3 linked regions of the Oryzias latipes genome follow. The protein of the gene in region 3 purifies or fractionates together with the protein of the main gene of each other region. This does not show direct contact. Links are inferred from orthologs where the notes say so. Each region holds a gene or a part of one and is shown on either strand. Other genes may lie near its edges. The genes, in order: ap1m2, ap1s1 and ap1b1.

What was found.
Region 1: the proteins of ap1b1 (region 3) and ap1m2 purify together in Homo sapiens (affinity purification with mass spectrometry; 3 studies listed by BioGRID and IntAct, counting the BioPlex papers as one, with this or other methods). This does not show direct contact. The link is inferred for Oryzias latipes from reciprocal best matches to the Homo sapiens genes AP1B1 and AP1M2.
Region 2: the proteins of ap1b1 (region 3) and ap1s1 fractionate together in Homo sapiens (co-fractionation; 6 studies listed by BioGRID and IntAct, with this or other methods). This does not show direct contact. The link is inferred for Oryzias latipes from reciprocal best matches to the Homo sapiens genes AP1B1 and AP1S1.

What each region holds. Positions count from the first base shown.
Region 1 is NC_019859.2:10,446,958-10,449,692, forward strand, and holds part of ap1m2 (AP-1 complex subunit mu-2), read right to left. Parts: coding exon 2,664-2,735; intron 2,547-2,663; coding exon 2,479-2,546; intron 2,320-2,478; coding exon 2,189-2,319; intron 2,091-2,188; coding exon 1,943-2,090; intron 34-1,942; coding exon 1-33. UniProt on the Homo sapiens protein: Subunit of clathrin-associated adaptor protein complex 1 that plays a role in protein sorting in the trans-Golgi network (TGN) and endosomes.
Region 2 is NC_019876.2:26,351,069-26,354,726, forward strand, and holds part of ap1s1 (AP-1 complex subunit sigma-1A), read right to left. Parts: intron 1,091-3,658; coding exon 912-1,090; intron 1-911. UniProt on the Homo sapiens protein: Subunit of clathrin-associated adaptor protein complex 1 that plays a role in protein sorting in the late-Golgi/trans-Golgi network (TGN) and/or endosomes.
Region 3 is NC_019867.2:12,636,041-12,639,698, reverse strand, and holds part of ap1b1 (AP-1 complex subunit beta-1), read left to right. Parts: coding exon 1-32; intron 33-560; coding exon 561-715; intron 716-3,658. UniProt on the Homo sapiens protein: Subunit of clathrin-associated adaptor protein complex 1 that plays a role in protein sorting in the late-Golgi/trans-Golgi network (TGN) and/or endosomes.

The sequences.
Region 1 (2,735 bases), on a different chromosome or scaffold from region 3:
GTCGCTGCTCATCACACTGCCATTGGCATTCACCTTAAAGAGGAATAAATAAGTAATGATGAACTCAATTAGAGTTAAAAACAACCTATTTTAGTCTTTTCAAATACCAAAATGGAGAAATCTACACACATAAAAATATCAAATCAAATATTGTGTTGCTCTTACAAAAAGTTAATTTAGTAATAAATATAGCAGATCATATTGTTAGAAGGTGCAGTGGTAAATAAGACTTTTCAATTTTTTGCTGTTCATGGTTTCAAAAGCACAAACAAAAAGTATTTTATTTCTGTCCGTAACTCCACTTTGGAAATAACAAGAGCTTTTTTTTTGGTTTCCCTTTACTAAGGGTTTTTTTGTTTCTCTGGTATTTTAATAAATGTAAATTGTGTTCAGGTTTTCCTGTTGCAAGAGCCAAAGCAAAAGCTTTGACTTAGTCACCTTGAAGTTTTACACTAAAGGTTTTGACAACAGGTTGTAATCTGATGCCATTTTTCAACCGCCTGATTTCTCTTTTCTTCTCGGCCAGCTCATCTTTGCATCGGTCTTTTGATGTCTACCACGTTGGTACGATCACAAAGCGATGACAGCGTCTCCTGCAGACCATTGTTTAAAAGACAAGCTGCACAGACTCCAACCGCTGATCTTCCAACTTCCAAACCAGCACTCTCCTTTTGAAAAATGGCAGCCCCACAGAATCTGCTTCCAGAATCTGCTGTTTTCACTGAATTGGGTTTTCTCCAAACCAGTGAAATGTTGCCCACATTGCTGGCTGCAGCACAGGCATCATAGATCCAGCTCTGGGATTAGCGTTTGGCATCACTAAAGGATTATAGTGAAAGCGTCTCCTCTGAGAATTTCTTTTAAAAGGTTTGATCTGTGCATGCACGGCTGAACAAAAGAGCAGTGGATAGAGGGTAATTTTTCTGAGATGTCTCAACAGTTTCAAATATTTCCAGGCTCTCTGGTACTTTTTGGGAGGAGTCAAAGGTATATAAACATAAAAATTCAACAACAAAAAAATTGCAGCTGTAGAAATGATATATAGTCCTAAAAAACAATCTTCTTGTAAAATATTTTCTAGAGGCAGGCAAATAGGTAACCATATCGTAATCACCCAATAATATATTTTTTAAATATGTCACTTATACAAACTGAAAACAATATATCTCACTTGTTGGATCTGAAGGGTAAAATAAAGACTAAAGAATAACAACCATGTTTATTGATCAGTGTGTATTCCGGCTACAAACAAAGTTCCTAAAATGATCTCTTAGATAAGGCAAAGTAAAATGAAAGTTTTGTTGGATTCAACCATCTGTTACTTAAAAAAAAGCACAAAAAGACTTTTATTTAAATTGAATTCTGTAGTAAAGTTGTACATTTTTTTAGCATGTGTGTCAATGGGAGTTGCTCCCTACTGAAACTTGCCTCTAGTGGTCATTTGAGGAACTGCAGAATTTATTAACGGTTTGAAACAAAATGTGGGGACTTGACATAAAACAGATTTGCATGCTTTTTTTCTTAACAGTACACTGTGTTCTGCATCTGGATTGGCTGTTGACCTTGTCAATCAATCTCCTCCATGCTGTGTCTCCTGTACAGAATGTGTACAGCTTACCAGAGATACATAAATCTTTGATCACGCTCAGATCTTTGTTTTCATTCTATGACACTGGACTTATTTTTCTATGAAGGTTTGAACTTTGAGAGTTTAAACCAAAGAGAAAAATGTCTAAATGTTCATGTCTGAGAAAAGTGTGTAGTGAAGGCTTTTACAGCATCTGTAATCCTACTTTGCGGATTTCACCTTTCACAGGTTACTTTTAGAACGTAAACCCCCCAATAAGCGAGGAAACACTATTGCCTCAAGGCGTTGGATGTGAATTTGCTCTTTAAACTCAAAGTGCACTGAATTGAGCTGGACCTTCATCCTTTAACATACCAGTACATTGATGGACTCTATGACATCAATGAAGACCTCGTTCTTCTTGTATTTGATGCCTTCTGACCGCCAGGAGACGGCATTGGTCACTGTGGTCGGCACCTTGGTCTTTGCCACCTCTAACTTCGTCCCCTCCTGAGTAATGTATCTGGGGGAAAAAAATTGCCAAGAGATTCAGTTCTATGGAGTAACATCGCTTACATGCTGTATTTAAATTTGCCTTGTCTGCGCCTGTGTCTCACTCACTCCTGTAGGATTTTGCTGTCAGTAGTCTGAGGAAATCCAAAGTCCATCAGCTCATCCAGAAGCTCATAGACAACCACAAAATTATCCTGAATGCTCTCCTCCTCCAGTTCTTTAAAATACTCCGTAAACACCTGCATCACAGAAACAGATCCTTTATCTGTTGGTGCTCTGAGCAGCTGAGGTTTGGTTTTAGGTAGACACAAAGATTTCTCTGTAAACTTCTACCTGCTTAGCAGATAGATGGCAAATCTATCAAACCGGTTGAAATGATAAAGCAAAGTTTAACTCACCTCAACCAGTTTGTAAAGAAATGAGTAAACCAGGGAAGCGTTTGAGTTCTTGTTCGTGGTTGCCACAACTGCACACAGTCTGAGTCAAGGTTGGTTAACAACAGCACGTTCACGGTCAGGTGACGTTATCAGCTCCTCTGCAGCCAACGTTGTTTTAATGTGTACAAAGCAGAGTATGAGGATACGGTACAGGTTGCTGTGTTTGATCCACATGAAGTGCACGGTGCCACGTGTTATCACAGGACAGATCATGCCTT
Region 2 (3,658 bases), on a different chromosome or scaffold from region 3:
TTTCAGTACAGGAGGAGCGAGCAGAGAAGCAGCTGGCCCACTGCTTTGAACTGCTACCTTCGCTAGCGCATAGGAGGAGAAATGCAGAGACAGACTGGCGCAGTTCTGTGTGTGTGTGTGTGCTGAAAGCAGCTCCGTTTTCTAGCGCATAGAAAGGAAGAAAGGAGACGGCACACGCAGCGTCTGTGTGTGTGCTGTGTGTTTAGCGCTTGTACGGAGGAAGGGAGCGCTGCAAGTGAGCGACCATTCAGTTTGTGATCAGTTAGGGAGAACAGTAACAAGATAAAAATATTTTCTCTACAAAAAACAGAGACTGGATGTTTTATTAACCCACTCTAGAAGCGCTGAGGTTCTGAACGGGGCGTTAACGTGCCCGCGCCTTAACACCCGGTGCGCCTTTTGTATGTGTCAAAGACGGAAAAATCCCCCGTGACTGAGACCGCGCCCTAACATCCGGTGCGCCCTAACATCCGGGGCGCCCTATGGTCGTGAAAATACTGTATTTGTTTTTTATGTGTGTGTGCAAACACTTCTCTGTCAACATGATAACTCTGGAGCAATAAACTGGTCAACAGTTGTTGGTCAACAGGAAATTAACCTGTTCCTGTCTTTTGATCGGTTTGCTGTGGATGAAGACTAAAACGAGACCCGCTTCAGTCCAGCGTGAAAACACAGCTCAACAGCAGTCGGTGTGGTTTCTCCGTTGAAGGACACGGATGAAGATCAGGAGAAGCACACAGTGACCTCTGAGAGATCAGAGACTAATGGAGACCGAGAGTGGGCCTCATTTTTGTCACCGCATTTAGGTCCTGCTGTTCCCCAAGCACAGCGGCACAAACTCAACCCAGAGCCACACACAGTCAGTCGGCTCATTCGGTGTGTGGTTTGTGCAAAAGCCAGGGCCGTGTCACCTTTTGTAGACAATCTTGAGGTCCTTCCACTCCAGGAAACTGCACATCTTTGGTTTGCGCGCCAGCACGATCTGCATGAGCTCGCGCACCATCTTCTTCTTGTCCCGCTCGGCGGTGGCAGTGTACCACTTCTGCAGCCGCAGCTTGCCCTGCCGGCTGAACAGCAGCATGAAACGCATCTGCAACAACAACAACAGCGCAGGCGGCCATTAGACGGGAGTTTTGATTCAACTCTAGAACTGCTCTAAATCGGACATTCATCGCTAAAGTCTGCTGACATTCATGTTAAAGGAATCATCCAAGAAATCCAGTATTCTAGAACATAAAAGCTTTCAGGAAACTGTTGAGAGTCGTGTAGACTGCTCGATAAAAAAAACTTTCACCATCAACTCATACACAAATTGTGACAAAAGCAGAAAAAGATTCTAGAGAAGAAAAAATTCAGGTAAATAAATGACGACAAAAATTCAATAAGTGGGATAATTTATGGAGATTTCACAAATGAAGAAACCAAAGATAAGTTAGGGGCTAGGAGGTGTGACAGGGGCTGGGGGTTGTCTGTAGGTATGGGGAGGGGGGCTCCATTTTAATTGTCCTGCTTTTTTTTAAATGTTGTTTTGTTTTGTTTGAATGTAAAGCACTTTGTGTTGTGCTTTTATAGGAAAAGTGCTTTATAAATAAAGTTTGACTGATTGATTGAAATATTATGTTCAAAATAAAACTTGATGCACATCTTACGAGCGTCGCTCAGCAAGAACAGATTGTTGCTGGAGGAAGCGTGCACAAAAAAAGAAAAAAGAAAATTTATTGTTATCGCAATATCAGGCTGTACCAGATGCGTATCGCAAAAGATGAAGACCATAAAACTTTAAATGGTAACCATTTAAGCTGAAATGTGCTGAAACAATCTTATGGCAGCTTGAAGTATTTAACCAATCAAATAAATCCCTTTATGCAATTGACCAATCGGATGGACTCCTTTGATGTAAGATGCTCGCCCCCTATGTAGACCAGAGCCATTTAGAGTATAATTTAAGCTACGTTGACTATTATTTTAGAACAGCTTCAGTCAAATGGAGATTATGCTTTTGGTTGTTTTGCTATTTGTTCATGTATCGCAAGTTATATCGTCATCTAGGGTTGTGCCGATGTACGATACCATCGTCCATCGTGATGGCTGACTGACATCACTATGGAGAGACACCATCGTGATGCCACGCCCCCCGCCACGCTGCGAGTCGACACCATAATAAAAATCCATGCGGGAAACGCCACAATCTGCATCTTGGCCGCACGTAAATATCTGGGAATAACATCAGCCTTTATTTTGTCGGGACACGACTGGAAACAAATCCACGTGATTGTTTGAATGGTTTCTAAGGACTGAGCGACATTTCTGCTTTGAAAAGCTCTCACACCGCTCCAAAGCCACTGTGTGAGTTGGCGGTCCGAGCTCTGCCCGGAAACACACTTTTAGACCTGGTTCTCCTGAGTTCGGTAGCTCGTTCACCTAGAGCTGCAGGACAGATCGCAGTCCTAAGTCTCCCACACATGGCGCACACGTAACAAAGCATCACCCCTTCCCCTAAAAACACAAAGTCCGTCTGCTCTGCTCAGAGACACGGTCGCTCGGTCCACCGCTTGACTAATCAAGTGCAGGAGCGGACTACTTTCCCATTTTGTTTGTTATGTTTTTTTTTTTTTTTTTTTAAAGTCATTTCCCTCAGTTTATACTGGATCATTGCGGATGAGTTATTAGTTGGGAAATAAAATAAATGAAGTAAAATCTTCTTCTTTCGGCTGCTCCAATCAGGGGTCGCCACAGCGAACAAGTCGCATGGTAAACTTGGCAATGTTTTACGCCGGATGCCCTTCCTGACGCAACCTTCTCAAACCGGGCTTGGAACCGGCACAGGGGTAGAGAAGGGAACAGGGAGCAGCCCGGAGTCGAACCCTGGTTTCACGGACGGAAGGCGCCGCGAACCAGCACGAGCTAAACCGGCTCCAAAATAAATGAAGTAAAATAGCGAATAATAATTATATAATCACGAAAAATTAAAAATTCCCCCCGGACGATTTCAAGCTGTGATTATCCATATCGCAAAAGTCAGCAAAAATCGCAAAAAAAAATGGTAAACCTTAAATGTGCTAAAACAATCTTATGGCAACTTGAACTATTTAATGAATTGAATAAATCTCTTTATCCATTTCGCCAATCAGATGGAGCCCTTCATGTTGTTGACCAATCGGATGGAGCTTTTATTTTGAATGTTTCCCTCCTAATTAGACGAGGGTCATTTGGAGAATAATTTAAGGTGTTTTGACTCATATTTAAATTAAACTTTTGCAGTGAAATGGAAATGTTTTTGTTGTTTTTTCCTTTTTGTTCATTTATCGCAAGTTATATCATCATCGCAATATTGATCACTACTTTTGCAAATCACAGGTTTTTCTTCATATCATGTAGCCCAACATCTGTAGTCCAAGTGGACATCTTAAAGTTCCACTCTGATCATCTTTGGATCTGGTCAAAGCATTCCCAGTGGTCTTTTAGTTATAATTATGCTGTTTTTAGACATAATAAATTAAATAAAATAAAAATCGCTGTCATTTTCTGGGACATAGTTTCTGCAGAGCGGCAGTAGTTCATTAGAAATTTGCCTCTGAGTTGTGGGCAGGAGTGTTGGCGTGGAGTACGCCTACCTTCCTTTCCCATCATCCCTTTTGGTAACACTCTATACCGCTAG
Region 3 (3,658 bases):
GTTTCAGATCAAAGACTGCCACCTCAGTTCAGGTAAGGTGGCATGATTAGAGAAAAAGGCGCACAGGCTTCCATCCAGCTGAGCCACTTTCTGCTTTAAGAAAATCCAGACAGATCAGTTTGTTAATAAAGCAGAATTAGAATTTATAGGACTCGTCCTCTTTCATCCTCATTTAAATGTAATAAGTTAGTTTTGCAGAAATGTGAAGGAAACTGAGCAGGAGAGGAATCTGTAATGGCAGCTTAATGGAGAGTTCCAGCAGCAGACTCTATTTTCTCTGCATGAACAAAGAGAGTATTTCACGTCCTGCTGAGGTGTAACCGACTGATGCTGAAGAGAAAGGTTTGTCTCAAATTAGGGCCTGTATCTTAGTTGGAGTTGGTCTTCAGGGTGAAACATCTTTCTTTTTTTTTAGTGGTCTAGCACATTAAAAGACAGTTTCTTCTGACAGCTTTAGGACATGACCAGAGTCTGTGAGGAGCTTGATAGTACATTTTTAAACTAACTGGAGCAGAGCTGTCAAACGCATTTATTTATATATTTATATATTTTCTCGACAGATGCGGTCTCCAACAAACTGCAGGGTAGCAACATCTTCACCATTGCAAAGCGAACGGTGGATGGCCAGGACATGCTCTATCTGTCTGTGAAACTCACCAACGGCATCTGGGTTTTGGCTGAGCTGAGAATCCAAGCTGGAAATCCAAATTACACCGTAAGCATTTGTTGTTGCACATGATCACAGCCGTGCATTTGCTGCTACAGTATGTACCACCCAAAGAAAGAGCTGGTGAGACACAGTGGCACCTTTTTATTGAAAACGGAAAGGCTATTTTAAGAACATCCCACATGCTGTGCACAGATTCTCAAGAAGGAAGTATAAATCTAAAGGGAAGCAGAAAGATTAATCTCACTTCTGGGTTTTTATTTATGGAGCATTAAGATCCAAGCGGGAATCTTTGCAGCCCACCATCTTTTTATAGTTCGGTTTGTTTGTTTTGTCTCCAGTGATGGTGAAAGTCCAAGAATAGAATTCACTGCAGCTTTTTTCCCTTAAGAAATCTGTCTTTGTAAACGTCAGATTTCTTATCAGATTTCATTGTAAACATCATGTAAATGTAAATGCTGCGTGAGCAGAGATTTAACTTATTGGAACAAAAAAAGGTTGTTTTGCCTCAACTGATGCAGTGAAGAGTTTCTCTTTCCTTTACCCATTTCAAGCAGATACTTGCTGGAAAGCTTTTCAAAAATACTCTTGATTTTTTTTTTGTAGCTTGAAAACTTTTAAACACATTATAAAAGTGTGTTTGTGGTTCTAAACAGTAAAAATATTCACGCATCAAGCTCTTAATATACTCGTCTGAATAAGACATGACCAGACGGATCAGAATTTCCTATTTCGTTTCAAAGAAAAGACAAAACTGAAGAAATATGATAAAGCAAAGCAAATATTACAAAAATGCAAAATAAAAACCTTTCAATGTTGAGGATTCTTCTGGTAGGGCAAAAACAATCACAAACAAAACATTATACCGATCTTTTTTGGTAAAAGTGCAAAATATGCCGGTCTGAATTTTACAATTTCAAAATTGTAAAACTAAAATAACATTTTTTGGAAAATATGTCTAGAAAACATCAACTTTTGACTGGAGGAATGGAAGCCTCGTCTTTAGTGATAAACAGGATTGTGACAAATATCTTCCAAACACGATGACAAAGAGGTTTCTCTAGTCTGTAGCTTAGGTCAGGAGTTTACTGGAAGTTTAAGCAGCCAAGACGATCCAAGAACTGCTGGACAAACTCATCAATCCAAAATTACTTATCGGGATTTTTGGTGGATTTACTGACCACCACACAAGGACACAGAAAGAAAAAAATACTCTTGGTGATGTAATGAGTCGTGACCCCAAATTCTTCTCAATCAATACAATCAAGTATTTGCTCAGCTTTTGTGATGATGGTTATGCAGTCTGACTCATCCAGATTCTGAAGAATCTTGATTTGGTTTTCGAGCTTTTAGATTTAACATTTGAAGGATGCAGGCAGGATTCTAAAGAAGCATTTGCAGTTGGAAATGTCTCACATAACAAGCTTGACTTAAATATTCATGAATCGAGCTCTTCTCTGAGGACCTTCACACATTTTTTTCTCTAATTGTCTCACTTCTTTCTTTCCATAAATAGTGTAGAAACATTTGCATCTTCCATTCTGCACTTCCTGCAGAAATGAGTTAAATGAGAGCGCGGGACAGAGCGCTGGCCGTCATCTTTGTATATCATGAATGGAGATGGATGATAAATTCCCATTTGATTGGACAGGCAGACATGACAGAGATTGATGCGCCGTAATGAGTGATGAGCATGCCGAGGCAGGGAGAGCGGCCGGCCGGCCCGTGATTGGAGTGTGTTGGCTCCTGCTGTGTGTGTGTGTTTAGCTGTTTACATGGTATTTTCTGTCCGTTCTGATTTAGCGTGTCTCTGTTTTGTCAGCAAACCGCAGGCCTCACATCTGATGAATTATGTTTGGCTTAAACATGCAGGATGAGCAATCTTGAGCTGTGACCTTGGCGTGACTCCTCTCCCTGTTCATTTCTCTGTCTGCTTTCCCTTCATGTTTTATTTATGAGGTGGCATTAACTGTCTACTTGTTTATCTCTGCTTGTCCATTTGTCACTTATCTGGACCGCACTTATTAAACTTAGAATTTTGATCCTATTTCTTGTCATCAGACAACGTCTAGAACAAAATTGTGTAGTTTTGTTCTGATATGAGGTTTTTCCTTTGGCTGAAAAAATCCCACAACTTTTCAACGTTAAATTTCCAAAATCCAGGCTGCTCTTCGGTGAAGCTGCAGCGGTCCCCCCCAGATTTCACAGATGGATTTAAATCGTACAGTCAAGACAGGACGAGACCTTCACTCATACTGTGCTGCAAGCCCAGAATGCACTTTGGTGCTCGTTCCTCTGAACCGCTGCCTGCTGCATGGTCCCTGCGCTCTGTTGGCACCGAACATGAAAGCCAAGCTGCCAAAGCCTTTTGTCAGCTGCTATTTTTAGAGCTAAAGAAGTAAAGCCCTGCCACTGGCTGTTTGCGGAGCTTGATGGTGTTTCAGAAGATGAGACCCCAAAGTGATCAGCGCTCATGTTCATCAGAGCGTACGGCTTTCTGCACGTTGCAGCAGAAAGCTCCTGCTGTGTTTGCAGAAATTGCAAAACTGGATTCACATTGTTTTACCAAGTAGCCTAAACTACCTTTTAAGAAAACTAAACTTTGCTTCCCCCAAAATATAGCAGTTAAAGGAAGATGAACATTATCTATGGGGTCATTTTTAAATCATTTGCTGTTGACACAAAACTAACAGACCCTGTAAAACATTGGATATTGATTTTTTTTCATTTTTTTTTTCCCCCCATCGGACACCAATGAGACAATTTGACTGCAAAGGGAAAAGACCCCCCCCCCCCCATTTCCAAATGATGCATTTTATTTCAGACTTTTTTCTGTCATTTACGCCTCCGTTGCCAAAGCTCTATCATGGTGGCGAGAGTGAGCTTGAAGGGCGGAGTCACAAGTTGATCAGAAACATCATAAAATAAAACTGATTACAGCAGAGTCAGACAGCAATTCCCTTTATTTTTTTAACTTTTGTCTTTTAATTT